Rattus norvegicus: one gene and its partners. The protein of the gene in region 3 interacts with the protein of the main gene of each other region in a pairwise test. Links are inferred from orthologs where the notes say so. Each region holds a gene or a part of one and is shown on either strand. Other genes may lie near its edges.

What was found.
Region 1: the proteins of Troap (region 3) and Trim23 interact in binary tests that used the Homo sapiens proteins (3 or more experiments, as listed by UniProt). The two-hybrid records come from large-scale screens. The link is inferred for Rattus norvegicus from reciprocal best matches to the Homo sapiens genes TROAP and TRIM23.
Region 2: the proteins of Troap (region 3) and Dyrk1b interact in binary tests that used the Homo sapiens proteins (3 or more experiments, as listed by UniProt). The link is inferred for Rattus norvegicus from reciprocal best matches to the Homo sapiens genes TROAP and DYRK1B.

Annotation. Positions count from the first base shown.
Region 1 is NC_086020.1:37,034,400-37,045,077, forward strand, and holds the start of Trim23 (E3 ubiquitin-protein ligase TRIM23), read left to right. Parts: upstream 1-1,805; 5' UTR 1,806-1,882; coding exon 1,883-1,963; intron 1,964-4,338; coding exon 4,339-4,419; intron 4,420-5,313; coding exon 5,314-5,476; intron 5,477-10,678. Other genes in the region: Trappc13 (trafficking protein particle complex subunit 13), read right to left, coding at 1,118-1,163.
Region 2 is NC_086019.1:92,603,810-92,614,551, forward strand, and holds the start of Dyrk1b (dual specificity tyrosine-phosphorylation-regulated kinase 1B), read left to right. Parts: upstream 1-3,644; 5' UTR 3,645-3,781; coding exon 3,782-3,860; intron 3,861-4,945; coding exon 4,946-5,109; intron 5,110-5,790; coding exon 5,791-5,910; intron 5,911-6,006; coding exon 6,007-6,195; intron 6,196-6,489; coding exon 6,490-6,637; intron 6,638-7,866; coding exon 7,867-8,153; intron 8,154-8,712; coding exon 8,713-8,859; intron 8,860-8,940; coding exon 8,941-9,081; intron 9,082-9,355; coding exon 9,356-9,671; intron 9,672-10,011; coding exon 10,012-10,118; intron 10,119-10,205; coding exon 10,206-10,577; 3' UTR 10,578-10,742. Other genes in the region: Fbl (rRNA 2'-O-methyltransferase fibrillarin), read left to right, coding at 557-689, 1,639-1,751, 2,325-2,470, 2,572-2,596.
Region 3 is NC_086025.1:132,112,427-132,121,724, reverse strand, and holds Troap (tastin), read right to left. Parts: upstream 8,238-9,298; 5' UTR 8,139-8,237; intron 7,894-8,138; 5' UTR 7,889-7,893; coding exon 7,745-7,888; intron 7,638-7,744; coding exon 7,451-7,637; intron 6,306-7,450; coding exon 6,145-6,305; intron 6,061-6,144; coding exon 5,923-6,060; intron 5,840-5,922; exon of another isoform or gene 5,746-5,839; coding exon 5,663-5,745; intron 5,327-5,662; coding exon 5,250-5,326; intron 4,960-5,249; exon of another isoform or gene 4,947-4,959; coding exon of another isoform or gene 4,895-4,946; intron 4,811-4,894; coding exon 4,695-4,810; intron 2,777-4,694; coding exon 2,693-2,776; intron 2,539-2,692; coding exon 2,479-2,538; exon of another isoform or gene 2,399-2,478; intron 2,012-2,398; coding exon 1,877-2,011; intron 1,734-1,876; coding exon 1,145-1,733; intron 941-1,144; coding exon 747-940; intron 613-746; coding exon 565-612; 3' UTR 429-564; downstream 1-428. UniProt on the Homo sapiens protein: Could be involved with bystin and trophinin in a cell adhesion molecule complex that mediates an initial attachment of the blastocyst to uterine epithelial cells at the time of the embryo implantation.

The DNA of each region.
Region 1 (10,678 bases), on a different chromosome or scaffold from region 3:
AAAAGCCGTTTCATTTGCTAGGAGGAAACAATATCTTAGAAAGATGAGGCAGGCCTTGTTGAATTATTGCCTTCACCTCTTACTAGATATTTATCTTGGAAAAGGTGTCACAATAAGTAATATCTAGCCCACACACTAGATGTAAGATGGAGATAATAAAAATACAGTAAGTTCCTTTCAAACACACATCATCAACTTCAGTCCCGATCACGTGGTCTCGCTGTTGTATTGCTCAATGTGGCGACCTTTCTTAGCTCCACATTCAGAGACAGTCATACTAACTGCTGCTATGGAAGCGTGACTGCATGTTAGGAATGGAACTGGTGAGCTTCTGGATGTGTATGTAGCCCACAGAGAATGGGGGAGGAATATGCGGTATATCCAAAGGGATGCCTTAAAGAGGGCCAGTGCAATCCAATCTAGTTCAAATGTCTTGTAAGCATTTCTTCCTATCAGTGTAAGGCACTGTTAACTTTATACCTGCACATCCCAAAGGCAAGAAAGTGCATTGTGGCAGTAGCAAACTAAAATAGGTTGAAATTGTTTTTTAATAAAAGGTTATCGATAAGCAGATTCAAGAAAAATCTGACCTCCTAGCTCCCCCCCCCCGGTCAAATTAAATCATTAAAACTTATTCCAAACTGATGCGTATAGAAAATTAAAGTTGATAAGACATTCTGGACAAGGTTCCCACAAACGTGATACTACAGTGTGAATTAATTTGCAGTATATTTCAACAAATCTAAGAAGTATTAGGTGTAGTTCCATTTATTTCAAATCCTTGGCATTACCGTGCTACACCATCTACAGGTAAGCTAAAACCTGGTAACTTTATCCCTGCGACCTAGACGGATAAAGGAGTGATTTTTGGAGAAAAAAAAAATTAAATGCCAGCTGAAATTTATGCCGGTTCACAGATATCTCTGCGGCAGGCTCGAGACGTGAGCTGCTGTGGACAAAATGTGGTAGCAAAGGCCTCAGTGCTTAGGTTTGCATTTCATTCCAGGAGCAGCGGGAAGGCGAGTGCCCGGTTTCAGGGACAAGGCCTTCGTTGGGAATCCATCAAAGAAGTGAGGCAAATAACAGAGTAAAGAGACTCAGGTTAGCAACAGTTTACCTTTTAGCGCCAGCAGGTGCTCCTGTTTGGGGGGATTCACTTCCATTTTGACCGGCACTTCTGACCTCAGCCTATACAGGCTGAAGTTTCACTGGGTCTGGAAGGAAAAGTGCCAGGCACAAGTCCCGGAAGATCGGCCTTCAAACGCACGCTCGACTTCTTTCTGCTCCTGAGAACTTAAATTCTCTTTTCATTAAGTCCTTTACGGCTCCAGTGAAATCTTTTTACCAAGGCCATTCCTTCGTTCAGAAATACACATATTTTCCACACAGGCTGACTTCAACGATCCACTTCGGGCTGACAATACGCGGCTTCCCAAAAGCTTACATTGCCCAGGGGGGGTGGGGGAGGGAGCTACTGTCGTGGCATGCTGGGATTTGTAGTACATTTTATACAAATTTAGCAGTGTACGCAGGGCGGTGGGGGAATGTGGTTCATTTACTCATTCTGACTCGTTTCAGTACTAGAGAAAAAATGTTCCAGGAATGGCATTTTCACCATAAAATTTTATTTATGTTCCATACTTTTAATAAAACACATTTTCTCCTCTCCATTACTCACATACGCCTTTATGGAAAAACAGCTCGCACGCGCAGACCGTACAGCCAATGACTGACGGAGAGAAAAGGTCAGAAGAGGCGGGACGACTCCCCGTCTATCCTGCGCATGCGTGAGGGCGGCACGCGCCGAGGCTTCTGGGTAGGTCGCTCAACCCCTCCTCTCAGTTAAAGGCTCTACTGCAGCTGTGCCGCTGCTCCTTCCAGGATGGCTGCCCTCGCTGTAAACAAGCCCGGAGCAGGAGTAGACAGTGGGCGGCAGGGCAGCCGGGGGACGGCTGTGGTGAAGGTGAGGGAACTTGCGTGCTCTGTTCTCCACCTGCGGCCTCCCTTCGGTTCGTCCTGGAGACCTGGCCGCGACTGTGCGGCCCAGGTTTGGCCGGGCTGGATGCGCGGCCTCTGGTGGGCGTTACAAGACTTTCCTGCCCCTCCGCGGTCCTTGCCCAGCGGAGCTGAAGTTGCCTGGTCTTCTAATTCAAGTGTTAACGTCGTCCGTGGGGCTGTTTGTGAAAAGCACCGCGTGGGCCTGTGAAAGTTGACCCGGACTGGGTCTTGCCCCTAGTCTTCTGTTTCTAGTGATGCCTCAAGAGGCATTAATTGACGTAGTTGTATTAAACACTCATTGCAATAGACAAGTACTATGGTAGATGTTTGAGTTCGCTAATAACTACTTAAAAGGTAGATGTTAATTCGCATTTTACGTGGGAGGAACCCTAGGTTTAAGTTAATACAGTGTGTGCTAAGGGCCCAGAGTTTACTGGTTGTCAACGTCTGCCTTCCAACATTGCACAGCTGTCCCTTGCTTCTGAATAGTAGAGTATGAAAACTTATGAAGTCCCCGACTACAGCACAATTGGGCTTTAACATTAGATGTATGGAGTACTGTCTCCTTAGAAGATTCTACCGAATATTTACAAGCTACATTTACTAAAAGTTAACTAGAAGTATGTGATGATCATTTCCCCCACCCACTGTAACGTAGATCTAAAAGGGGCATGTGGTTTAGGGAGTAACTTGGAAGATTATCTGTAGCCAAGAGATTAAACAACTCTTTCTGAGTGTGTTGATGTCAGGACATTTATTAAATCCCCTGAAGAAATTTTAAAGTACACTTGGATTTATTACAGTGAACCAAGTTTGATTGGACATTCTTTAATAGTAGATATCTGTCTGTCTGTCTGTCTGTCTCTCTCTCTCTCTAGCAAAGGTCTGTTTTTGAGAAATTTATGCCTAAAATTTATCAGTCGTTTTTTATTGGTGTGTTTGTTTTGAATCAGTTAACTTTTTATACTAATGAAATGTAGAGGAGCCCCCATTAAGCATATTTTGTGTTAGAGTTAATATTTTGCTTTTGCCAAATGGGAATACCTGCAGAATATTTTGTCATTCTTTCCCATAATTGGAATAGCATGTTATAATTCTCCTTAATACTTTTTCACTTTATCATATATTCTGCATGTATACATAAAAGATGTAATGGCTGTAGTTTTGGCATATGAATGTACCATAATGTATCTTTCAATTTAGTATTTATATGGATCGTTGCTTGTTTTTAATTATTTAATGATACAGATAGTACTTTAAGGAGTTACATTGATTTTGTCATATGTAGACTGGGGATGTGATTCAGTAGTAGACCATTTACCTGATATAGTCAGGGTCCTGAGATTTCCCAGCAGCAGAAACAGCAACAGCAACAAGGACGAAAACATTTTGATTTTGTCGTGCATGTATGATGTAGTTCCTTAAGAACTGCTAAATTGTGTCCATGGGTGCTATATTACTCAGTAAATTTTTTGTGTCAGGCAGTGGAATTTTTTTCCTGTACTGTAATTAGTGCCAAGCATTAACAGCTTTTTGAAAAACTATCTTCATGTCGTTATTCTCTGTAGAATGAGTTAGATTGAACTCTTAATACAAAGTTTTTTTATACATTTAGCAGATATTTAATTTGTCTCTTTTTCCTTCGAATTATACCACACTTAAGTTTCTTTTGAACTATTACCAGTACGTGAGGTAATTACAAATTACCAGTTTAATTACTGTGAAAGATGTTTGTATCTCAATTTCTAAGTCTAAATGTATTAGAAGATCAAGTTTAAAATTGCAATGGGTCTAATGAGATTTCCACTCTTTAAGTTTTCTATTTTTTTTTTTTATTTTGTGTTGCATGTTTGGTGGCCTGAATTGTGTTTCAGTGTTATTTTGTTGGGTTTTATTTGCATCAGCATGTAGGTGCTTTTGTATCTGGAGTGTACTGTTCTGCACTCTCGTTCTAATAGGGAAAGACAGGTTAGTCTATTAAAGTATTGAAGTATTTGGGTCAGACAAGCAGATAGATATTCAGGGTGCATGGAAAACCAGAGGATAATGTAATAATTGAAATTGGAGTGAGAGATTGGGAGACTAAGAGAGATGGGATTTTTAGGTATATGAATATAAAAACTTTAAAAAAGGAAACCAGTAGGTAAATGTTTAGATGTTTCCTCAGTGTTAATTAGAATAAAGAAGGGATCGAGAAACCACCAACCACAGAAGCAAGTGGTCCTGTGCTGGGATACACATGTAGTAGAGGGGACTGAGAGGTGTGGCAGTGAAGCAAGAGAATGGTAGTCAGTTGTAAAAGCACTGGAAATGCTATATTGTTATAATTACGTTTTGCAGACTATACATGAAATATTAGCCCATGGACCTGAGTGTCAGAGTGAGCCAGTTCTCGCAGCTTTTCTTCCTCACTATCTTTCAGTAAGTCATATACCTGTGATTACTTGTGTAAGAACAGGAATTGAAATTTAATTCTCAGCTAATTTTGTTTTTGCCTTTACATCATTTTGTGAAATCTAGAAGATACTTGAAATTCCTTGGAAACTGTCTTACAAGTTTTTTTATTGTTTAGAAAAGTGATTATCATCCCAATCCACATTTTAGATTGTTTTATTGAAATCAGTGGTAGTTTGGCTGGACACAGTGGCATCTCCTATAGTAACTTCTGGGAGGCAGAGGCAGGAACATTACTATAAGTTTGAGGCCAGCTTGGACTGAGGTCCATTCAGGGGTAGTCAGTGAAACGTCATTTTACAAGGGAATAAAACAGGGCCTAGAGAGATAATAAGCTATTGACAGCACTGAATGCTCTTTTGAAGAACTCGGGTTTGATTCCTAGTACTCCATGGTAACTAAGAACCATCTGTAACTCTAGTTCCAGGAAGTCTGATGCCCTTTCTTGACCTCTGTGGGCACTGCATTAGCATGATGCACCCACCACACATGCAGGCAAGACACCCATGCACAAAATAAAAATAAATCTCTAAACACTTTTTAAAAAGGAAATGAGTGCAAAATGAAATGATTGTTGATTGGGGGTTTCAGTAGAATTATAGATTGTTACATATTTAGTTTTCAGATTATATTATGTTAATTATGTTAATTTGCAATATAAGTATTTCAAGGAGGTTTTACTTTGTCAAGGTCTGTCAAATGGAAATGAGTAAAAATGTGATTTAACATTTTATAGCTTAGTTTTTTTTCCCCATGGAGGAATAAAGTAACAACTACTATGTCAGTTGTTTTTAAATCTAAGATATTTGAATGTTGTTTCAATAGTATTTATAGGGCACATGTTTTTGTTTTACATACTAGGTTCTGGAGTGTGGTGTTTGTGAAGATGTCTTCTCTCTGCAAGGAGATAAAGTTCCTCGCCTTCTCCTTTGTGGCCACACAGTCTGTCATGACTGTCTCACACGCTTGCCTCTGCATGGAAGAGCAATACGTTGCCCATTTGATCGACAAGTGACAGACCTAGGTAGGTAAATTATTTAAATGAGGTTAAAGTGAAAAGTTATTCATGTAACACAAATGTCATAGAACACAGTTCCTTTACACTTGACTTTTTATGTTAAAGTTTGAAGAGCTTTCAAAATTTGAATTTCTATTCAGGTCAGTGAGATCCTAAATGTAAGCTAGCCCTTTTCTTAGTTACTGGTGGAAATCTGAAGTTTCTATATTCTATACTTACTACAAGAAGCTTTAAGAAGTATCAGAAATATATGTTACCCTTATGCAAAGAAATGAGAATACTTTATTCATCACCGGTTAAGTCTTAATGCTCTGAATAAAAAAACCTGTTTTTTTTTTTTTAAAAGATAGTCAAAATATAAAGTCATTTGACTCGTTCTTTCTTTCTTTCTTTTCTTTTCTTTCTTCCTTCCATCCTTCCTTCCTTCCCCCACCCCTCCCTCCCTCTTTCTCTTCCTTTCTTTCTTTCTTTCTTTCTTTCTTTCTCTCTTTCTTTCTTTCCTTTTCTTTTCCTTCCTTCCTTCCTTTCTTTCTTTCTTTCCTTTCTTTCTCTCTCTCTCTCTTTCTTTTCCTTCCTTCCTTTCTTTCTTTCTTTCTTTCTTTCTTTCTTTCTTTCTTTCTTTCTTTCTTTCTTTCTTTCTTTCTTTCTTTCGAGATAAGGATTCTCTGTGTATCCCTGACTGTCCTGAAACATGGTTTGTGGACCAGACTGGCCTCAGCTCAGATCTGACTTCTTTTAGCTCCCAGTTCTGAATTAAAGGTGTGCACCACCATGGCCTGCTAGGTTCTTGCATGCTTTTTTTTTTTTTTTAAGATTTATTTATTTATGTTATGTGAGTACACTGTCACTGTCTTCAGACACACCAGAAGAGAGAATTGGATCCATTACAGATGGTTGTGAGCCACCCTGTGGTTGCTGGGAATTGAACTCAGGACCTCTAGAAGAGCAGTTGGTGCTCTTAACCACTGAGCCATCCCTCCAGCCCCCTTGCGTGCTTTTACAACTACTTCAGAATCAGTGTTGACATATTTTAAAATTTAAAAGTGTGTGTGTGTGTGTGTGTGTGTGTGTGTGTGTGTGTGTGTGTTTACCCAAATCAAGTTGTCAGATTTTGGCAGAAGGTGCTATGTCACTGGCCCAGATTTAGAAAGTACAACATTAACATTTGAACAATTATTTCACAGTTTAATGTAAGTTCTTAATTAATTTTGTAAGATAAAAGAATTTTCCCCAAAATAGTTTTTAAAAAAAACATTTTTTAAAGATTTATTTGTTTCATTTATGGGAGTACACTTTAGCTGTCTTCAGACACCAGAAGAGGACATCAGCTGCCCATTACAGATGGTTGTGAGCCACCATGTGGTTGTGAGAATTGAACTCCAGACCTCTGGAAGAGCAGTTAGTGCTCTTAACCACTGCACCATCTCTCCAACCCCCCCAAATTAATTTTTAAGACTGACCCCCCACCCCCTCAGGTCTTTACCAGTACTTAACACTAGGGCTGGTGAAAGGACTGAATGACTCCTGCAAGTTTTCCCCTGAACTCCATACTTGTTCTGTGGCACCTTTATATATATGTGTGCACACACATCCACACACAGAAAATAGTATAAATGTTATAAAAGACTAATACCATATGTTAAAATCTGAATAATTTATCTACGTATAAAAGGAACCAAGAGTGTCCCTTTCTTAGGCTTTAAAGTACTTAGAAATATGGCTTTGACATGTGTTCTTAAGATTGTGGCTATCTTTATTTGCTAGAAAGCTAATGCAAAACACTAATGACGTCACACAGACAGCATTAACCTACTACCATCCATGAAGTAATAGTGGTGGAAGAGATGTCTCTGTTTTAAGGTTCATCCCTTGACTTTTTTATTCTGTAATTAAAATAACATTACCATTTCTTCACATACAACTAGACATGTAGAAATGATAAAGTTTTGCAGATGTAGGCTAGACCCTTTGGGAGAGCCCTCTACCTTCTCTGTACTACCACGGTATGGGAGTTTATGATAGGACAGTTAGTCGTGTGTCAGGTGGAAACCAAGAGTGCTGCCTTTCCACCATCAGAGCAGCCAGCTCTGGCATGCGTAAAGATGGCAGTGCCTGTAACTTAGGGCACGTTTAACTGAGTTGTTTGCGGACTATCTCCGTGACTTTCAGTTATTATACAGTATATACATATATACACACAGTATGTATACCACAAAAATACCAAGGAGAAAATACCAAGGTAGGTTATTTGCAATTCCTGCTTGTAGAAGGAAGCTGCTCTTACTGTTACCAGTTCCTAATCTGAGCTTTCTTCTGATCCAGTCAGCTGCTACTTCTCATGAGCAGTATTTCTGGCTTTACTCTCTTTGTCCCTATGGTAAATTGTATTTCCCTGCCCTCTAACAATTATGTGTGACTATGATGTTTAAATTTAACTATTGAAAAAGAAACAGAAATCAAGTGTCAACTCTCAACTTCCAGGTAAAGGTTTTTAAGATTGACGATGATCTGAGGGAAACCATCCTTTTTGCAACAGTGAGGTGGTCTACATGAGTGAATGCTCAGTGTTCTACAGCATGCATCGTGGACAACAGAGCTTTCTTGTCTTCCCCAAACCCTAAGGATTTGCAGGAACAACACAAGTCTGAGGTTTTTTAAAACCATACAGCTGGGTTGGGGATTTAGCTCAGCGGTAGAGTGCTTGCCTAGCAAGCGCAAGGCCCTGGGTTCGGTCCCCAGCTCTGAAAAAAACCAAAAAACCATAAAGCTGTGTGTATGCATGCATTTAATTTTTACACTCCAGATTTTATTCCCCTCCTGGTCTACCCTCCGACTGTTCCACATCCTATACCTCCTCCCCGCACCCTTTGTCTCCACAAGGATTTCCCACCCCACCCACCCCACAAGACCTCTAAACTCCCTGGGGCCTCCAGTCTCTTGAGGGTTAGTTGCATCTTTTCTGACTGAACCCAGACCCGGTAGTCCTCTGCTGTATATGTGTCGGGGGCCTCATCTCAGCTGGCGTATGCTGCCTGCTTGGTGATCCAGCGTCAGAGATCTCAGGGGTTCAGGTTAATTGAGACTGCTGGTTTTCCTACAGGGTTGCCCTCCTCCTCAGCTTCCTCTAGCTTTTCCCTAATTCAACCAGAGGGGTCAGCAGCTTTTGTTCATTGGTTGGGTGCAGATATCTGCATCTGACTCTTTCAGCTGCTTGTTGGGTCATTTGGAGGGCAGTCATGATAGGTCCCTTTTGGTGAGCATTCCATAGCCTCAGTAATAGTGTCAGGTGTTGGGGCCTCCCCTTGAGCTGGATCCCACTTTGGGCCTGAAGCTAGACCTTCTTTTCCTCAGGCTCTTCTCCATTTCCATCCCTGCAGTTCTTTCAGACAGGAACAATTATAGGTAAGAATTTTTGACCGTGGGTTAGCAACCCCATCCCTCACTTGATGCCCTGTCTTTCAGCTAGAGGTGGGCTCAACAAGTCCCCTCTCCCCACTATAGGGCATTTCATATAGGGTCCCCCCACTTTGAGTCCTGAGGTTCTCTCACCTCCCAGGTCTCTGGTATATTCTAGAGGGTCTTCCCAACCTCCCGAGGTCACTTGTTTCCATTCTTTCTGCTGGCCCTCAGGGCTTCAGTCCTTTGCCCCCACCTAATATCAGATCATGTCTCTCCCCTCCCCTCATCCAGTCTCCTTTCTCTCCAAAGTCCCTCCCTCACTCCCCTCTTGTAGTTGCTTTTTTCTCCCTCCCAAGTAGGACTGAGGTGACCTCAGTTGGGCCCTTGAGCTTGTTGACCTTTTTAAGTTCTGTGGACTGTGTCTTTGGTATTCTGTACTTTAATATCCACTTATTAGTGAATACATATCCGTGCATGTCCTTTTGGGTCTGAGTTACCTCACTCAGGAAGTTATTTTCTAGTTCCATCCATTTGCCTGCTAAACTCATGATAGCTTTGTTTTTAATAGCCAAGTAGTATTCCATTGTGTAAATGAACTACATTTTCTCTATCCATTATTCTGCTGTGGGACATCTGGGTTGTTTCCAGCTTCTGGCTATCACAGATAAGGCTGCTATGAACATAATGGAACATGTGCATGCCTCTGTGGCATGGTGGGGCATCTTTTGGGTATATTCCCAAGGATGGTATTGCTGGGTCTTTAGGTAAATCTATTTCCAATTTTTTGAGGAACCTCCAAATTCATTTCCAGAGTGGTTTTACCAGTTTACAATCCCACCAGCAATGGAGGAGTGTTCCTCTTTCTCCACATCCTTGCCAACATGAGGTTTTGATCTTAGCCATTCTGATTTAGGTATAAGGTAGAATCTTGGGGTCATTTTGATTTCCTTTCTCTGATTACTAAGGACTTTGAACATTTCTTTAGGTGCTTCTCAGCCATTCAAGATTCCTCTGTCGTGAATTCTTAGATCAGTTCTATACCCCATTTTTGATTGGGTTGTTTGGTTTTTTTGGTGGTTAGCTTCTTGAGTTCTTTATATATTTTGTATATTAGCCCTCTTTCAGATGTTGGGTTAGTGAAGATTTTTTTCCCAATCTGTAGGTAGCCAATTTGTCTTATTGACTATGTCCTTTGCCTAACAGAGCTTTCCAGTTTTTATTTATTTTTTACAGCTACAAAATTGTTAGGTACTCCTCGGATTGTGTGTGTTCCTTACATAATGACTGAATTTTGGGAAAATCTCCAAGGCCATATTTTTAAATGGTTGTTCTGAATTCTTAAATGTTTATATAAATGAAGTTGATGGATCTAGTGTATAAAATACATGGGATATATGGAAGGAGGAAACCTTGCAGAGGGGCAGCAAAACTGAGGAACGCTTGCTTGAGTGCTCTGTGTAGTGCTAATTGAGAAAAGGGGTGACAGAAAAGAGAAGAGATAAACCTAGCTTCATTAAGAAAAACAATGTTTTTGGGTGTGTTCCTGAAGAAAAAAAAGGTGACAATGGGCAAGGAGCCTAGTAGACCGTGCTGCCTGTTTCTCTTGAGTTTTCATTTTACTAACAAACATTTCCTAGATGGCAGCAATATCAGATTGCATTTGTGCTGTGGGAACTTACCAGATGCTAATCGCTGAACAATTTGGCTATTTCTGTAGGCTGAAAACGGGGTGTTGCATGTGTGGGCATGATTATGCACATGTGCTTACTTGTTTAGTTTTGGGTAAATGAACTGTCCTCATTCAAACCT
Region 2 (10,742 bases), on a different chromosome or scaffold from region 3:
AGGCAGGTATGCTGACACTGAGTTACATCCCAGCTTTGGTTTCTGCTAATGGACGTATGTTCTCTGGCAGTACAGGATCCCAGTGCAGAGAGCACCTAGTACTTGGGAGTCTCACTTGACAGCTTCTCGCTGCTTGACTGAATTATAAAGTGTTTAATTAGTGAAAGCACTAGCCTTGTAACCCTAGCCTCTTCTAAAACCAAACAGCAACAACACTCAGACTTGGATAGGCATTGGCAGTGTGTGGCTTCATATTTCCTGTAAGTGCTGCTCCGTTACAAATGCTATGAGCTCTGTTCCTTCATCTCTATCTATCCTGGATGCCTAGATTTTTACCCTGTGTTGGGAGCCTGTCCTCACGGGTCAGATTATTAGGATCTTAAAACTTGGTTGCTTGGGAATAACATGGCTCATGACTTCTCATAGTGGCAGTAATTTCAAAGCAGGGGTTTTGATTGAGGGTCTGAGAACCTGCTACAAGTGGCACTCAAGCCCAGTCAGTGTTGACGACTACTGGAGTACCAGTGTGTGCTCATCGATGCTGGGTCAATTTTAGGATGGTCTGGTCTACGCAGTTGAGTTCTCCCACCGCTCTGGCCGTGACCTCATCAACTTGGCCAAGAAGAGGACCAACATTATTCCTGTAATTGAAGATGCTCGGCACCCACACAAATACCGCATGCTTATTGGTGAGGGCCCTGGGGGTGGTCCACAGAGGGTAGGATAAGCCACTGCATGTTTCTCAGGGGATGCCTATGGAGCCTGAATTAGGTGGAGTTAGAGTTAGAGCAGCCTCTTCACTGCAACAGTGTGAAGATTGTGTCAGGGTCAGTTCTGCTACGCTCTAACACTCGAGGCCTTTTTTTTACACTGCCCTGGCTTGTGTTTTAAAGCCATTATTTGATGAGATTCCAGTCCTGGTCACAGCAAGTATAACTCAATGGCTTTTTTAAAAACACCTCGAAAGTCTAGTATAAAAGTGGAGGGCCTTGTGAGTTCCCCTAGAGATACCCGATACTTGTTGCCTGCTTTTCCAAACACTTAAAGGATGTTTTTACTCCATCACATTTTTTGTTTTGAGTCACGCTACCTTAAACCATTACCTTTCCATTGTGCTTCTTTGGTTTTTATGGGGTTTGGTTTGGGTTTTTTTGTTTTGGTTTGGTTTTTTGTTTTTGTTTTGTTTTTTAACCTGTGCATTTTCTCAGTGCACCCAGCCCGTCCTCTGGTCCTTGTCATTTGACAGCCCTTCCCACATCTTGTCTTTAACTGCTCAACTCACATTTACTTGTCTTTCTGATGAACCATCTCTCCCTTCCCCTCCCCTCCCATCCCACCCCCCCAGACCTGGGAGGATCTCGAAGGCAGGGTCCGGATCTCTCTGTGTGTCCCCCACACCCAGCCCAGGGCTGGCCACAGAGTAGGTGGCAACTGTTGGCTTATAAGAGGAGCGGATGAGTGAAGTGACTTAGGTTCTGGTTCCACCTTTGGGGTGCTTTGGAGGGAGTGGCTGGGAGTAAGACTGGAGGCAGAGGAGTCCCAGGAACCTGGTGGTGAAACAGCACAAGGCCCTGTTGGGAGGCTCTGGAAAAGTTTCTGCAGACTTCTGTTTTTAACCGCTGTCCCATTTTTCCTTAGCAATGGTGGATGTCATCTTTGCCGATGTGGCCCAGCCAGACCAAACCCGAATTGTGGCCCTGAATGCCCACACCTTCCTGCGGAATGGAGGACACTTTGTGATTTCCATTAAGGTATGGATCTTGCAGTGTCAGGTTGAGTAGCAACAGCGAACGTTGTGGATGCTTGATCTGTCCTGGCTGAGCAAGTTACTTAGCTGAAGCCTGTTTGACTTGGTCTATTAGTCTTCTCTGTGGTTGAAGATCTATAAGTGTTAGGCATTTGGAACAGACTATGGGGTAGAATAATACTAACTGCAGCAGGTATGGTTCTCAAAACATTTGTTTAAAATATAGAAAACTCTCAGGCATCCTCACCATCTTCAGAGCCTATTGCTACATTTGTTCTATTGCTGCCAGCTGGCCTTCAGCTGTTACCGGAATATGGAAGAGTGTTCCTGACTTTAACCACTGCCTTAGATAAGGGAAACAACCTGTTTCCAGTCTGAGCTAAATTAAAATGTCTTTTTTTTTTTTTTCCGGAGCTGGGGACCGAACCCAGGGCCTTGCGCTTGCTAGGCAAGCACTCTACCACTGAGCTAAATCCCCAACCCTAAAATGTCTTTAATGTAGGAAATTGGCTAAGTCTGCATCTCCAAATCTGTAACAAAGACATGCTTTTAGCTTAAAGTCTTTTCTCCTCTCTAGGCCAACTGCATTGACTCCACAGCCTCAGCAGAAGCTGTGTTTGCATCTGAAGTGAAAAAGATGCAGCAAGAGAACATGAAGCCTCAGGAGCAGTTGACACTAGAGCCTTATGAACGAGACCACGCTGTGGTTGTAGGTGTGTACAGGTAAGTACCAGAATAGACCTCTCCCTTACTTTGGGCCAGAGCTTCCAGGGCCTGAGAAGCTAAAATTGGTTACAACTCGACCCACTCTGATTTCCTCACAGGCCACCTCCCAAGGCGAAGAACTGAAACTCGACTGTCTGGATTGAAGAAATGTGTGTTGTTGCTACTGTTGCACATGTGGCTTTTGACTTTTTGCAGGGGATTTTTCTATTAAAAGACTAATCTGTCTTCCCTGTCTGGTGCTGATTGCTCAGTGGCCTCAAGACGCATGCGTCCTTGATCAACTTTGTGTGGTGGTGGTGGGGGGTGCCTGGAAAGTTTCATCCGGTCACATGGTGCACGTTCCATTGGTGGCTGCTACGCACGTGCGCGGCTCAGCACCCTTAAGGCGCAGGCGCACAGTGCTCCACTAGGTCACGTGAGGGGTGTGGGGGCGGAGCCGGGACAGGGGGGCCGGTTTGTTGTGGTCGCCATTTTGCTGGTTGCATTACTGGGTAATCGGGGCCCTGGCTCGCCGCGTCCACCAGACACCCTCAGCCAGTGGGCAGGTCTGAGCTCGGGCTTCCCGAGCAGTTTGAATCCCCTTACCCACGCCCTCAGGTAACGGTACTGCGACGGGCGGGATGGCACGCTTGAGTGGGGGGCAGGCCCGGACCCGCCCTGCCGGTCCCCGCGAGATTTAGCAAGGGAAAGGAGGGGGCTTCAGGCCAGTGCAGCGCAGCCCGGCACTTCACAGCCGAATTCCTGGAAGGGGCTAAGCCCGAGGGAGCTGTCTTGAGGGGGAGCCTGGGAGGGGGGCAGCCCGGCCCCACTCCCGCCCTTTGTTTGGGCTCGGCTGCGCTGGCCGCTTCGCTGTCGCCTAGCAACAGCTGCCCTGACTGCTAATTGGTTAAGCTCTTGGCAGCAACAACCAATAGCGCGGTTGTTGCCATGGGAGGTGCGGCCTGCCGGGTTCACTTGTGCCCCGCCCGCCGGGACTCCACCGGCCGGGGCGGGCCTGCCGGGTGGGGGGCGGGACGCCAGGGTCCCTGGGGGCGGGTGGCCACGCGGGGCGGGGCTGGGCCGTAGGGCGAGGGTTAACCCGCCCCTCCCCCGTCCACCTGCTGTCCCCTTCCCCCGCGTGCCCTGGTCTGACCCTCGTCCCCTCCTTTTCCCGCCCCTCCCCCTCGGTGGCAGTGGCGGCGGCTGCTGTTGTCACCCACCGGGCCGCCTGTCCCGCTTGCCCTCACTGCCGCGGGGCTGGCTAGGCTAGCCGGGCCGGGGACAGGCGGCCACCTCCTCATCGCCGCCGCCGCCACCGCCGCTGCCGCCATGCTGGCCGCTCGCCCACCGCACTGGGGCCCCCATCGCGCTCCAGCCCCCCGTGGGCCCAGCGCCAGCCCTGACCCGGGTAGGGGTGGGTGCTGGAAGAGCTGGTCCTAGTGTGGGAGGGCTTGGGGAGAGGTTGTTTATCTGTGAAGCTCCAATAAAGGGGACCTGGAGTAACAGGACAGGATAGAAGGGAATCTGACAAGGGGGAAGCTCCTAGGGAGGGGATTTTGTTCCGAAGGACACTTAGAGGGAGTGAAGTCTTGTGTGATATTTAGGGATTTGGCTTGTCGGGCCCTTCTAGGAATAGGCTCAATTGTGGAATGACCCCGCTTAGAAATGGAGGAGATAGCAAGGATCCCAGGATAAGGAAGAAAAAGACAGTGACTCTTAGATGTTGAGAAATTACACCTCCCCCTTGTTTTCCTAAGGAGTTGGGGTCTTGAAGTAATAAGAAAATACTAGTGGGATAAATATAGACTACTTAGAAGAAGAGTCCCTGGTGCGGGAGACCTCATATAGGGAGCAGGGAGCGGTCTTGGTGGAGTATGGAGTTGGTCCCAGGGGAAAGTATGCCATGTTGGTTGAGACATCTATAGCTCGCATGTAAAGGAGTTCTCAAATAACCTTGGTTTTGCTAGGAGGTCCACAAGGACTGCTATGTTCTTTAGAGAGAACTAGTGGGTAGGCTAGGCTTGAAATTGGGCCCTCACTGTTGAGGGAAGACCATGTGAGGGCGGTGCCTTTTCTGAGGGACTCAGGCTGGCCACCGGCAGAATTTCAAAGAAAGCCTGAATTCTACTACCCAGACTACTCGGTTTCTGCCTTCTCTTTTGCTTTCCTAATTCCTGGCCTCTTTCTCTCCTTCCTGCCCTGGCCTTGTACCAGCCCTTTCCCACCCCTGTCTGGTTTGATGATTCCCTTTTACATTTTTCTCAATGTGATGCCTCATTCATTCATTTGGCTCATTTGTTGAGAGACATGGCTGTTTTAACCCACTTGCTACCCGTTTCTGTTTCTACATGGCTACCTGGTGCTTGTGCTCTGTCCTGTTCCCTGTCTCCCCCTGGTCCTGCCCTCTAGTTCATGCCCACTTCTTCTCTAACTGACCCTGACCTCCACACCTTCTTGTTTCATGTTGTCCTCCCACTTTCTACCTGCTCTCAGGTCTCAGCGGCGGTGGCAGCCGAGGTGCAGGATGCGAGAAGGCGCCCCCCGGCCGGGCTCCCGCTCCAGGCCTCACACCCCTGCGGCCCTCTGAGCCCACCATGGCCGTCCCACCAGGCCATGGTCCCTTCTCTGGCTTTCCGGGGCCCCAGGAACACACACAGGTAGGCATTGAGCAGGCTTCTCACCTGCCTGAAGAGTGAACGGCCTCCAGACAACAGCATGGTTGTTGGAGGATCTCTGGGGAGTTTGGAGGCCTCACAATACTAAAAGAGTTTCAGGTAGTTGGACTTTGAAGAATCCACCCTCTTTCCTGCTGAGGACTGAATTCTTGAGCTTCTCCATAATGTGTGTCTTGGGGTCAGAACTGTCACTGGCACAGAGCAGACAGAAAGAAACACAGGTCTGAGTGTTCACGAGAGAGAAGCCTGAAAGAAATCTAGAGGGGGCCAGAAGGAAAATGAGCTGAGAGCAGTGGGAGACCCAGGGAGACTAATCCCAATCCAAGAGCTTTTTAATTGGGCAGAGATACTTACTTGAGAGTAAGGACAGGAAATTCAATAGCATTGTTCCCAGAAACAGTGGTCTCAGGTGCAAAGACTCAGGGGACAGAACCCAGATACGGAGCAAAAGACCTAGGGCTGAATGGAAGGTCAGAGGTAAACCACTCACTTCATATAATGAACGGATGAGTGGAACCCACAGTGTGTGCTTGTGCTCCTATACAGGATGCGATCAGAGCTAGGGAAATGTAGGCATGGTCAAATGAGGTGTCAGCTTTACCCTTCTCTCCTAGAAGTTGGAGGTGAAGGCTTGTGCTCAGTGTCTGCCTCCCTCTGCCACAGGTATTGCCTGATGTGCGGCTACTGCCACGGAGACTGCCCCTGGCCTTCCGGGATGCGACCTCGGCCCCGCTGCGCAAGCTCTCAGTGGACCTCATCAAGACCTACAAGCACATCAATGAGGTGAGTGGGGAATGGACTTCTGTGGTTGGGTGTTGAAAGGGGTCCTGGCTTCTTGCCTGGATCACTAAGGGTCCAGTTTCCTGGCTGCCTGAGCAGGTATACTATGCGAAGAAGAAGCGGCGGGCCCAACAGGCGCCACCCCAGGACTCGAGCACCAAAAAGGAGAAGAAGGTCCTGAATCACGGCTATGACGATGACAACCACGACTACATTGTGCGCAGCGGCGAGCGCTGGCTAGAGCGCTATGAAATTGACTCTCTTATTGGCAAAGGCTCTTTTGGCCAGGTGCGAGGTTCCCCCGCTCGCCCAGTGCCTGGGTGATGCAGACAACCACTTGGTTACCCCGCTTCCTCCTCCCAGAGTGTTCACTTGCTAAAAGTCCTGCCCTGGGCCCGCCACTCAAGCCACTTAGTTTCCCTGTCTTAGTTCTGGATGAGTATAAATCACAAGACTCTTTGAAAGAGAACTGTTGTTACTTTTTATCCATTACAAGGGATGTGAGCACTGGGCTGTGAGTTGTTAGAAAGGTATGGCTGGTGGGCCTCTCGCTTACCCAGGTAACTCTCCTTGTCTGGACAGGTGGTGAAAGCCTATGATCACCAGACTCAGGAGCTGGTGGCCATCAAGATCATCAAGAACAAAAAGGCCTTCCTGAACCAGGCACAGATTGAGCTGAGGCTGCTGGAGCTGATGAATCAGCATGATACAGAGATGAAGTACTACATAGGTAAGGCCTGGGTGGGTGCAGGGCGCCTGGCATAGAGAGGCCTCCACTGAGGGCTGAGGGCTCCTCAACCTCTGCTGTGGTCATGATTTCTCCTTTCTGCTCACTGAGGGCCAGACTCTGGCAAACACTTGCCATGAACTACCTCCCCCAAGCCTGGTGAGGGACAGGGCAGCTTTGTGGACGTGTTGGAAAAACGGAGGCACTCAGTGCTGTCACATGCATGAGGTGACAGTTCAGGCTCAACAGTTGATAATGTGAGAAGCAGTGACATCTAGAGCTATGGCTCTTGTGATATGTCCCAGTCTTCAGTTCCTCTGGAAAGGGATTCTTTAATAAAAGGACAGCCAGTATCCCTTGCCACACAGACAGCAAAGACAAAAGCAGGTTCTTTTGATAGTTTGGGGTTTTGGGTGATGGTGATATTTTTGGAGGTTTTGTTTTGCTATTCTGGGGATCAAACCCCGTGCTTCATAAATGCTAGGCAAACAGGTCCTCCCTTCAAACATCCCCGACCCCAGAACATCTCCAGACCTTTTTTTACTTCATTATTTTGAGCTAGGGTCTCACTAAATATATCCAGATGTACCTCGAGCTAACAGTCTTTGTGCATCAGTGTATCCCAGGCCTGCTGGTTCAGCATTGTAAAATGAAATGAGGAAGCATGGAGCTGTTTTTTTTTTGTTTGTTTGTTTGTTTGTTTTTTGTTTTTTCGGAGCTGGGGACCAAACCCAGGGCCTTGCGCTTGCTAGGCAAGCGCTCTACCACTGAGCTAAATCCCCAACCCCGCATGGAGCTGTTTTAAAGCTTTAATTTCCCTTTGCAGTGCCGGGGCTTGAACCCTGGTCCTTGTGCTTGCTAGTCAAACATGCTACTGCCCTTTGGTCATCCCATAACCTATAGGTTACACCATCTTTTGGGGTTTTGTTTTGTTTTATTCTGGACTTCACTGTGTAAGCCAAGCTGGCCTTGAGCTCCTCATTCGCCCATTTTATCTTTCCAACCGCTGGGATGACAGTCATGCTCACTAACTACTTCCTACTGGCAGAGCCCTTCCTTTTGGTAAAAACTGGAAGGTATGAGAGGCTCGAGAATTAACATGCCTTGGAAGTCCAGTGAGTCGGTGTAGAGACAAACACCTTAGGGCTCACTGCAGTTTGCCTGAGGTGGTTACCATTGGTCCCAGCTTCCCTGCCGCCAGTGCATCTAACCTGTTGCCCCATCGACCGCAGTACACCTGAAGCGGCACTTCATGTTCCGGAATCACCTGTGCCTGGTGTTTGAGCTGCTGTCCTACAACCTGTACGACCTCCTCCGCAACACACACTTTCGCGGTGTCTCACTGAACCTGACGAGGAAGCTGGCACAGCAGCTCTGCACAGCCCTGCTCTTTCTGGCCACGCCTGAGCTCAGCATCATCCACTGCGACCTCAAGCCTGAGAACATCCTGCTCTGCAATCCTAAGCGCAGCGCCATCAAGATTGTGGACTTCGGCAGCTCCTGCCAGCTTGGCCAGCGGGTGCGGTTCTGACTGTGGGCAGCGCCAATGTCTTCCGTGGGATGCGGTGGGAGGACGGTTTCATTTTGGCCCTAGAAGCTGATGACCAAGAGATGATATTGGGCAATGGGAAGCCCCCTGGAGAGAGGTGGTGGGAAGTGAAGGGGCAAAGATGACCCAAGCAAGGAAGAGAAAGGGTGAAGCTGAGGGCCAGGCACTCCTCAGAGGAGTGGAGTTGTGACCTGAGCCTCAGGCTGCTTTGCTGACTGCTCACAGGTTGAGGACCATGAAGTTTTTCAACCCCATGTGAGCAGACCAAGCCCTAGGGGATATACTAATGTAGTACAGTATGGAATAGCCAGCCTCTTAAACCAGAAGGACCAGAGCTGGGAGTGCAGACAGGGTTAAAGCAGGAAGGTCATTGAAGACTAGAGGTTAATGAGCAAGACAGTGACTGGCTGCAGAGAACCTCACAACCTAGAGGGTCCATCCTGTTTTCAGGCAGGGGCTTGTCTACAGTTGAATCTTCCAGTGGAACCAGCAGGGGAGCTGGTACCCTGACTACTGTCCCCTCCCCCAGATCTACCAGTATATCCAGAGCCGCTTCTACCGCTCACCAGAGGTGCTCCTGGGTACACCCTATGACCTGGCCATCGACATGTGGTCCCTGGGCTGCATCCTTGTGGAGATGCACACCGGAGAACCCCTCTTCAGTGGCTCTAATGAGGTGCGCCCCTGGAAGGGGTGTACTGGAGGTGGAGGGGTGGAGCCTGGCCACCTGGCGCCCCTGACCGCCGCCTGCCTGCAGGTGGACCAGATGAGCCGGATTGTGGAGGTGTTGGGCATCCCTCCCGCACCTATGCTGGAACAGGCACCCAAAGCTCGCAAGTACTTTGAGCGGCTGCCTGGGGGTGGCTGGACCCTACGAAGGACAAAGGAACTCAGGAAGGTGCGGCCCCTGCCCTGTGCCACTTCTCCCTCCCTGGGTGTCCCCTCACTCACACTTGGGGCTCCCCTCTCCCTGTGTCTTTCCCTGTCTTCCTCTCCCCCTTGTCTGTCCTTTCCTTCCTCCCCTGCCAACCCCATCACCGTCCCACCCCACAGCTCTTGTTAGCTTCTCTCTCCCTCTCTCTTGTGCCTCTGTTTCCCCGTGTGTGTCTCCCTGCCCCTCCTGCCCACTGACGGCCACTCTCTTGCCCCCCCTCCCACCCCCTCCCTGCCAGGATTACCAGGGCCCTGGGACACGGCGGCTGCAGGAGGTGCTGGGCGTGCAGACGGGCGGGCCCGGGGGCCGGCGGGCGGGGGAGCCGGGCCACAGCCCCGCCGACTACCTCCGCTTCCAGGACCTGGTGCTGCGCATGCTGGAGTATGAGCCCGCCGCCCGCATCAGCCCTCTGGGCGCTCTGCAGCATGGCTTCTTCCGCCGCACGGCCGACGAGGCCACCAACACGGGCCCGGCAGGCAGCAGTGCCTCCACCTCGCCGGCGCCCCTTGATACCTGCCCCTCCTCTAGCACCGCCAGCTCCATCTCCAGCTCTGGTGGGTGCCCCGTGTCAGATGTGCACCGCAGGGCCTAACCAGGGTGGCCTGACCACTGGGCCTCTCTCAGAGCCCCTGAAACTACCAGATTCTGAGCTCCAAGGTGGGGTGGGACAGTCCCACGTGACCTGATAGGCTCTTGGTTGGAATTGGGGCTGGAGACTCAGTCCCTAGAACTGACTGTAGCCTCCCACGAAACTCAGACCCTAGATTCCAAAATTGGACTGTTACAGCCTCACACTTGCTCTGGTCTCAAAGTCTAAGCTTAGGGCCTGGGTAGTGAAAAGACTTGCCCCATCTTACTACTCGTGTCCTCCTTTCTCCTTCCTGGTGCTTCTAGGAGGCTCCAGTGGCTCCTCCAGTGACAACAGGGCCTACCGCTACAGCAACCGATATTGTGGGGGCCCAGGGCCCCCCATCACTGACTGTGAGATGAACAGCCCCCAGGTACTGGAGCTGTGAGACTTTGGAAGTGGGTGGCAAGTGCTTGGGACTTGAGGATCTCACCACCCACCACTCCTTTGCTTTTTTTAGGTCCTACCCTCCCAGCCTCTGCGCCCCTGGGCAGGGGGTGATGTGCCCCACAAGACACATCAAGCCCCTACCTCTGGCTCAACATTGCTGGGGACTGGGGCCCAGTTACCCCCACAACCCCGTTGCCTTGGACGACCCCCATCACCCACCTCACCACCCCCCCCAGAGCTGATGGATGTGAGCCTGGTGGGCAGCCCTCCAGACTGCTCTCCACCTCATCCAGCACCTGCTCCCCAGCACCCGGCTGCCTCAGCCCTCCGGACTCGGATGACGGGAGGTCGACCACCTCTCCCGCCCCCTGATGACCCTGCCACTCTGGGGCCTCGTCTGGGCCTCCATGGTGTACCCCAGAGCACAGCAGCCAGCTCATGACCCTGCCCCCTCCCTGGGGCCCCTCCTGAAGCCATACCCCCCCATCTGGGGGCCCTGGGCTCCCATCCTCATCTCTCCCCTTGACTGGACTTGCTGCTACCCAGCTGGGGTGGGTGAGGCCTGCACTGACTGGGGCCCAGGGCAGGGGGTCAAGGGAGAGGAGTT
Region 3 (9,298 bases):
TGCATAGGAAAAGAATTCTAGCATTTCTTTTCTTCCTTGGTGTTGGTTTATTTGTAGTTTTTCTCCTTTTGAGATGGGTCATGGCTTTTTGCCCAGGGTTGCCTCCAACTCTTGGGTTCAAGTGATTCTCCTGCCTTAGCCTCCAGGCAGCTTAGGGTCACAGGTGCCCAACTGAGAGTTCTAACAGAGGTGTTCTAGATGTGGGAATACCTGGTGGCCCCCCTAGAGTGGGACTGATCTCAGAGAGAACAAGTTCTGTAATTTCCCCCTAATCCACTCAAGAAGCCTGAGAAGGCAGACTGGGCGGCCGCTTTCTGGAGGACAGCTGCTGAAGAGGAAGCCTATGGTCCCAAGTGCTTAATCTCCTCTAAATTGGAGCACACTGCCACCATGTGGGCCACTGGAGAGCAACAGCTCTGGCTGCCCCATTCAAACACAATTTATAGAAACTTTATTATAAAGGATAAAAGGGCGTTGGCTCCCAGTCCAATGGGCAGGTCGACAATAAATAAGGCTAAAGGAAGGGGTGAGTACAGCAGGGCAGAAGCCCAGAAAAGGCCAGAGTCACGACGGAGAGTCCTGTGGGGCCACAGGGCCAACTGGAATGAAACGCTGCAGAAAAAAAAAAAAAAAAAAAAAAAAAGAAGAGGGCTGTCATATTCCATAACTTCTCCATAGAGAGGGCAAGGTCAGCCTGCCACTGTCCCACAGGCTTGCGGCGTGCTGGCTATACACCAAAGGCTCACCAGGGCATCTTGCCATTCAAGCATTGTAGCAACAGGATTGGTGCAGACCCTGGTAGGCCCTGGGGGCAGGGCTCGACTGGTGTAGAAGGCACATTCGTCATCCAGGCGAGCCTCGTGGAAACAGTGGATGGTGGTGAGACAAGCTCTGAGGCGCTGCCTCAGGGCCAGGGTTCGAGGGGCCACACTGCTGGGGCCTGAAGGCCATGGAGAATTCAGAGGGGCCTCTGGAGTTATATTTCTTCCAGGTCCACCCCCCCCCCATCCCCACCCCGCACCTCCCTATGAGCACAGCCACTTAGAAGTACAGGGGAAATAAAGCATGGCATGGGGAGGTGCAAGGCAGGACCCGCTCCCAGACAGGGCCCTTTCCTCATGGTCTTTCTCAGCCAGTTCCTTACCTGAGCGGCCTGTCGGGGATCTCGAAGAGTGCAGTGAGTGGATAGGGAAGCTGGCACACACTGGGCTTTGTGTCGAGGTCAGGCTGGTGGCTGCTGGAGGCCCCTGACTGCAACAGGGCTCTGGGCTAGACTCTGGGTTTCCAGCTTGCAGAGCGCTGGCTGCCGATGCTCCCAGCTGTATCCCAGGGCGAGCCTCAGGGGGCTCAGCCTGTCCCCGACAACTAGGCAGAGGGGGTCCTGCCAGTGCTGGAAGGCAAGGTGCTGGCGGCTCTGGCTCAGCTCTATGTGGCACTGGGGGCTTTAGTTCTGTGGTAGAGCAGGGCTGTGACTCCTTAGTGTCTTCCCCAGGGCAAGCCTGTGGCTCCTCACGCTCTTCCGCAGGGAGGGCCTCTGTCACACCAGAGTGTTCTGGCAGTGCAAGGGGAGTTTCAGACTTGTGTGCTGGAGCACTCAGAGTGCTAGAGTCTTCAGCCACTGGGGGCTGACGTTCGGTCGTATCTAAAGCGGAGCCTCCATTCAGAGCTGCACAATTGCCCGTTGCCAGCCCCTCTACTTCCTGCCGCAAGAGCTGCTGCAAAATATGGATGCGCTGTGGTGGGAGAGAGTATCCCAGCGTGTCACCACTGTGTGTTCAAGGCCCCTGTCACACACCCCCAGCCTTTCTCCCCGCTCCCCCTCCCCAGCCTTCTTGTGGAGGAGAAGCCATCAGAGCTGCGGCCCCTACAGGCCCACCTGCATCTTTAGCTCCTGGTGGCTGGGGGTTCTCGTGGACTGAGGTCCAGAAGTGCTTGCCACAGATGGTTTCCCAGGTCCCTTCTGCAAAGCGATGAGACTCTCCTGGTCAAACAACTTCACAGCAATCTGCTCCTGAAACAGAAGGAAAGGGGGCGGGTGAAGAAGCCACATTGAGGTGGGAAAGAATACTGTCCCCACCCTCCTGGAATGGATCAAAGTTCCCTGGTCGTTCTTCTAAAAACCAGGTATGGTGTGGCAGGCCTACGATAGAGCAGATATTAGCCCTGAGAAGCAAAGGCGGGAGAATCAAAAGTTTGCAGCTCAGGCTGTTGAGATGCGCACGCGCGCGCACACACACACACACACACACACACACACACACACACACACACACACACAGAGAGAGAGGAGAGAGAGAATAATTTTTTTCAAAGTGTGGGACTAGCAGAAGATAGATAGAGATAGACTGACATTCTAAATATTGAATAGGAAGGAGAGGCGAACAGCAAATACACCTACCTCAAATCACAAGGCTGCCAGCCCTCCAGGCCGTGGGGGAGTGCCACAGACCTCAGTACAGGAAGGTTTTTGACACTTACCCAGGGCAGGGCAGGCTCTTCAGGGGAGGAATGAGGAGAGAGGCCACTCAGCCATTGGGCCTGTGTCAGACAGGACAGACCACCCATGAGTGACACCCACTCCTCCGGCCTGTCATACCTTACCCCCATCCCTATCTAGTGCCTGCCTGCCCTCTCCCTTCCTCCCTAGTCCCAGCCCACACTGGTTACGGTTACCTCCTCTGCTTTCTCTTACCTGCTGGACTCTAGGTAGTGACCGGAGGGGTGTGAATTGGGTTTTCCGTCGAGTGGTAAAGCGTTTCATGGATGAATATGTGGTCTGAGGAGAGATGTGGTTGGCTGAGTGAACATGGCTTTCCAGCCAAACACTTCTTATCCTGCCCAGCCCAAGGGCTGTTGACACAAATCACAGCTGAGAGGCCTGGGGAGCAAACGCCTCAGCCTGTCTAAAAAGGTGACTGCTTGGTGAGAAAGGTGGTAGGTACTGTATGGCTGGCTATGGGCTGGGCTGTAGGGACAGGAGAGGGTGCAGAGAGCCATCACTGTCACTGGAGGAAAAAGGTAGGAAGAGTGGCCTCCTGAATTCTCCCTCCTGTGTCTTATTCTTCCTGTTCTCACCACTGCAGCAGCTGCTCCTTAGGGGCCCATGCAACTTAGAGCCTGGCTTGGAACGTCTGAGCCTCCTGCCTCTGCCTCCCACTATGTGCATGCTTGCACGTTTATTTCAAGAGAGAAACCAATTATCTCTTCCTATTCACACTTTCCCCTGGCTTCCTGTTCAGACTACGAGCCGAGAACTTATACTGGTTTGTACATCCTTACCAAGAACTTACACTGCTCTGTCTGTCTGTCCTTACCAAGGACTTACACTGCTCTGTCTGTCTGTCCTTACCAAGGACTTACACTGCTCTGTCTGTCTGTCCTTACCAAGGACTTACACTGCTCTGTCTGTCTGTCCTTACCAAGAACTTACACTGCTCTATCTGTCTGTCCTTACCAAGAACTTACACTGCTCTGTCTGTCTGTCTTTACCAAGAACTTACACTGGTTTGTCTGTCTGTGCTTACCAAGAACTTACACTGGTTTGTCTGTCTGTCCTTACAAGAACACACACTGGTCTGTCCGCCCTTACCTGATCTCACCTGTCATCACTGTCAATTCGTCTTGGACCCTCTTCTCACCTAGGCTTCAATCCCACTTGTGTGTTTTGCTGGCTCTCAAATACTAGATACCTCCTTTCCTCAGGGCTTCTGCATCTGCAGCCCAGGGTTAAATATCCCCCTATCCCCACCCCCACCCCCAGCTGTCTGAGCCTGCCTCACCTCTTGGTCTCATAAGCAAGCCTCATCTTCCCAATGACAGTGCCCTAGCCAAACTACATTTGGTAAAAAGACTGCTTAAGCAACCCCTTCCAAACATTAAAATTTTTTTCCTAATTTACATGTAAGTGTATTGGGTGCCAGAAGAGGGCATTGGATGCCCTAAGTGGGAATTACAGGCGATTGTAAGTTTAGAGCCAGTGGGAGCTAAGTTACCAGCCCTACAAGCATGCACACACGCGCCTTCTATTTTTTTTTTTTTTTTTTTTTTTTGGTTCTTTTTTTCGGAGCTGGGGATCGAACCCAGGCGCCTTCTATTTTTAAACACAAGGTCTTGCTACATAGCCGAGGCTGTCCTGACATTCACCATGGTGCAGCCCAGGTGCTCCTGCCTCCAGATGCTGGTCTGCAGTCGTGTACCACCAAGCATGGCTCTAAACTACCAATATATGATACCAACTACCCTTCCAAATCCTTTCAGTACCTTATGCATTTTGCTTTAGAAAGAACGTGCTGCCATGTGACATCCTATACATTTTACATTTGTGGCTTTTTCTCTTTTGTTTTTTTTCCCCCTACCCTTTCTAGAATATACATATTCTGGAACTAGAACCATGGCTGCATTCAAAAGCCAATCAGCAAATACCTGTGGAATAAAGGAATTAATATGTTGGTTGAAAAGTGTTGGTCGTGTCTTGGCCACGGCACTGATTTGAAGGTGACATATATAACAGTCTGTCACCTCTGACCCCAGGCCCCAGAGACCCAGTAAAGGAAGTCAGATCTACCCTGAAGAGGGCGTGGTCCCAGTTCCATCAAAAGACCAAATACTTCGAGTCCCAGGTCTAATGATTCTACCCACAATCCTCAGTGGGCCACCATTCCACCCCGCCCCATCCCAGAAGGGTCTCCTCTCACCCTGGTGTGTGTTAGGCTTTCTTTTAATGGAACTCGTTGAGCCAGACCCAGTTTGGGTCCTCCTTCTCCACCTGAGTGAGGAACAGCCTCGTGGTCTCCTCTGAGGGTTAAGGAAGCTGGGAGGAGACAGGACGTTCGTTTACCGTAGTGTCTAGAACCAAAGTCTACCCGTTCAGCAACCCCTCAGAGCACAATAATACCTTGGCAAACACTTATCAATCCCAATGCCCTGGCTGGGCTGGAGGTGGCCATGGCTCACAAGGGACTGGGATAGAGAACACAGTAGAAATTGTCTTGCAGGAAGTGGCAGGGAGAGGTCAGAAACAGAGACACATGTACAACCAGGCCAACCTCTGGCCTTCCCAGGAGGTCTTGTCTGCTTTGTGTGTTATGGGTGTGTGTTCTGGGATGTGGATGCTTGGTGAGTACTCACCACTGAGCTAGACTTCCAACATCTCCCTTCCCCCACTCCCCAAGGCCCGTTGATCACGCCCCTGCCTCGTTCCTGGTGCAGGCCTTCACCCTTGCTTTGCTCCTGTACCCACACACACTCACCAGGCTGCACCGGGGTCTTCAGGAGCAGTCTCGAGGCCTGGCTTGCTGAGGTCCTGCTGTCAGTACAGGATCCATCCCTGAGTGTCAAGCAAGGGCTGGGAATTAGCGAAGGGCTCTGCCAGCACCATCTCAGTAGCTTCTCCCAGTACTGGTGCTATCCTCATTTGGCCAATGGATACGGAAGCCAAGCTACAGACAGGTTAAGGTAAGCCTGCACGGCTAGCAGTGGTAAGCGTCGGGAATTAAACTCAAAAGCTATTTACTGTAGCCAATCAAAGAGCCCTTCGTGTACCTCCAAGTTCCTCCACGTCTGAGATAAGGCCCAGCCATCAGAGTCTGAACCCCATTGCCCCACCCAGGGACATGTTTGCCCATCCCCTCTGGGGTCCAAAGGGAATCTACTCTCTCTGTACCTGCTACCGCCACAGGTCTCTCTTCTGAGCTCCTGTAAACTGGGGCGAGCGGAGGAATGAAAGGAGGAACCTGCACGTGGGTTCTGATCCAGGACAAGACAGGAGGACAGAGTCAGAAGCAGACCCCGAGCTTGACACAAACCTCACCCCATCTCTCCCAACAGCCCAGGGCTTCATCTTGAGATGTTGTCCCAAGGCCTACTCTGTTCCAGGAAGAAGCTTCTAGAAGGACTGAGAGTCAGCCCCTCAAGAGTACTCACCAGAGCCTCTGACCTCTGTGAGGAAAAAGTGCGGTCTCGGAGCCCTGGGCCCTCCAGCCTTGAGAAGCAGGAAGCCCTGGCGGGATCCGCTTGGTGGGCGCGGATTCTGGGAGCCAGGTATGCGGAAGACCGTGCACTCTGGACCGCCGACAGAGGCTATCAGCAAGACTCAGAATTTACCCCTTAGCCCACCCTAGCCTGGTCTCATATCCGTCTCATTACCTGGCCCCTCTGGATGTGGGTGCCTCCCTTTCTCTCACGCACTAGCACTCTCTGAGCCAGACTGGACCGGGACTCCAGGGGACAGCTCTTCACTCCCTCACCTGACAGGATGGTGGCCAGGGCTGCAGGGTCAGCAACAAACTCTATAGCCCCTGAGGCCTCTGAAAGGGAAGAGACAGGATTAGAGGAGACAGGAATAGAGGACACTGAGGGCTAGCAACAGTGAGCAAAAGAAACATCAGAGCCAGGATATGTGGTGCACACAGCTACAATCCCAGAATTTAGGACACTGAGGCAAGAGAACCAGGTGTTCAAGGCCAGCCGCCAGCTCATAGAGAGCCCAGAGCCATCTTGAGAGACAGAAAGAGATCATTGGGTTGAACCTAAGCTCACCAATGTTTAAAGAATTTCATGTAAGGCTTTGCTCTGGACAGTGGGGTATAAAATAAAACAAAGGTTTTGCCATACAGAGCATATCACCGGGGGCTGGAGGGAGGCCGTGAGGACTAGGAACACACCGTTACTCTTCTTGCATAGGGCTGACTGGTCTTAAGCTCTCAGCATCTATGTCAGGTGGCTGGCCTGGAACTCCAGCTCTAAGACAATCCAATGCCTGTCCTCTACGAGCATCACATACACCCACACATACACCATTAAAAATAACCTCTTCTTAGGGGCTAGAGGGATGGCTTATTGGTTAAGAGCCATTGTTCTTCTGAGAGACCTGGGTTATATTTCCGGCACCCACAGCCAATTATAGCTCACAGCCGGCTATAACTTTAGCTCCAGGGATTCTGATGTCCTCTTCTGAACTCCATGGGCACTGCATGGACTCACACAGAATAAAAATAAATCTTTAAATATAAAACTATTATTGAAAGGAAGAAGTTAAAGCTGAAGTTTGGGCAGATTATAAAGACTCAGTTTAGCTGAGCGATTGATGGTGACTGTCCTGATTGGGGTTGCTGAAAAGGCCCAGAAGATGTGACTGATGGTTGATTTTTTTTTTTTTTCTTTTGAGACAGGATATCACTGTGTAGGCCTGGAACTCACTATATAGACAAGGCCTCCGATTCACAGAGACCACCTGCCTCTGCCCCCTAAAGTGCTGGGATTAGAGGCATGAGTCACCATGCCAGGCAAAAGGTGGCACTTAGCTGTAATGGCTTCATAGAGCACAGAGCTTCCGGGACAAGGCCCAGGACTCTTACAGTATGCAAGAGACCAGAAGGCATACAAAACCCCCACTTTGTGTCTCTCATCCTTGCTCCGCCAAGTAGGCTGTCCCCCGGCCTCCAACAGGTACCTGTCTGGGGATGGGTGAGCCCCACATTTGATCCCCCAGAGCTAGGCTTGAGTTCCTCCAAAGGGTTCCGCGGCTGAGTGATCCTCAGTCTTTGTGATTTTTCTGTCTGGTGCAGGGCTTTCGATCTGAGGCCTGCCGTGTCAGTGAGGGGACGTTGAGTACGGTGCAGTGGTTTCTTCGCTGATCTCTGAGGGGAGAGGGAAAAAGTTGGGGTTCAGCGCGGAGGTGGGGGTTCAGTGCAGACGGGAGCTGCCTCCTTGTGGTTACTCTTTTCACCCATCATGCCCCTCTTACCCTTGGATCTTGGTTCTCCTGGTCCAGAGAGCCCGACTTGGCTGAGGAAAAATCCGAGCATCTTTGAGAGAGTACTGGAATTTTGCTAGGGTTGGGAGATACACCTCGGAGGTGCGGGTCCTTACTGGTTTGGAGGGTAGTCATGGCGGCTATAATTGAGACGAGAGAAAAAGGCAGACAGGACTGAGGAACGAAGCAAATCATTCTCAGGCTATGGGTGCTGATATCCCTGATTTTTCTCCCTTGGTCCTAATCCATGTGCCTAGAAGCCCACACCGGCAGCAAGGCCTCTCTCCTGGCGACTCCTCCAGAAACCCAAGACTGCTATCTCGCCCCAAACTGCTCTCCTCCCCAGGAACCTCGGCAGGACTCCCCTAAGATCCCCGTGCCGCACCATTCCAGGAGCTCCTCGGGGTCACCTCTACTTTCTCAGGTTTTTTTCGCCGATTTTCTGGATTTCTACTGCTGCTGCTGCTGCTGCTGCTGCTGCTGCTGAGGCTTCCCCGGTTTGTAAAATACGCCAAGCTTGTGATTGGCTAGTTCCCGCTGACGCGAAGGCGCGTGACGTCACACGCAGCCAACCAATCCGCAGGCTTCGAGGGCGGGGCCAGAGAGGGACAAGTCGCCGAAACGTTTTCTGGATGGGAAAACAACTGACCAGCTCTTCAGCCAATCCGAAAACGGAGCGCGAGTGGCCGGATTGGGGGACAGCCAGGGAGGATGCTGTTCTGAAGCCCGGGAAGGCGACTCTGGGCTGCAACGGGCATTACAGTACTCTCGCGAGATCAGGAGCCAGCCGAGCGAGGTCTGTCCTCTCTTGAAGGCCGCGGAATTGTGGGAAAGAATGGCCATCGAGCACACTATTGACCAGACTCTGAACGCAGTGCAAGGCCGGGTTTTGGGAAACACTTCAGGAAGCATGGGCACTTCTTAAGGGGGATGAGGAACCTGATGGGCGAGAGGGCTGGAGGTAACCGAACTGAACCCATCAAGAACGAGGAGCCAAGAAATCATTTGTCCACTCGGACCCCACAACCTGGTGGGGTGTGGTCAGACCCAGGGTGGCTGGAGTTTTGTTATTCAGAATTGAAGGGGCTCCTCGAGTGTGGGGAGATCTCTGCATCTTCAGGTTGCCTTCCACTTGTCTGGAGGGCTCACCCGCTACTCATTGGCAGATGATGGATATGAGAATAGACAAATGTCTCATTCCACCCGCGCACACACAAAAGCTCTTTCTATCCCAGACTGGCCTCAAACTCGCAGCTTCCTGCTTCAGCTTCCATTGTGCAAGGATTGCACACCCGCTGCATAGACATCCGTTTGGAGTTTAAAGGACACTGATAAGCAAGCCAGGAACAAGTGCTTCCGGATCTCCCCTTCCATACACCATCTCTTTTCACACCTACGGACTTCATATCTTAGAGCATCTACTCAGCTGTTTAGCCAGACAAAGCGTAGCACGCAAAGACAGCCAGCTTGGTCTAGAAAGCCATTGTCTTCCAAATAGTCTCCTTGCCCAACCCCTCCAGTCTTTTTATTTTAAATACATATGAT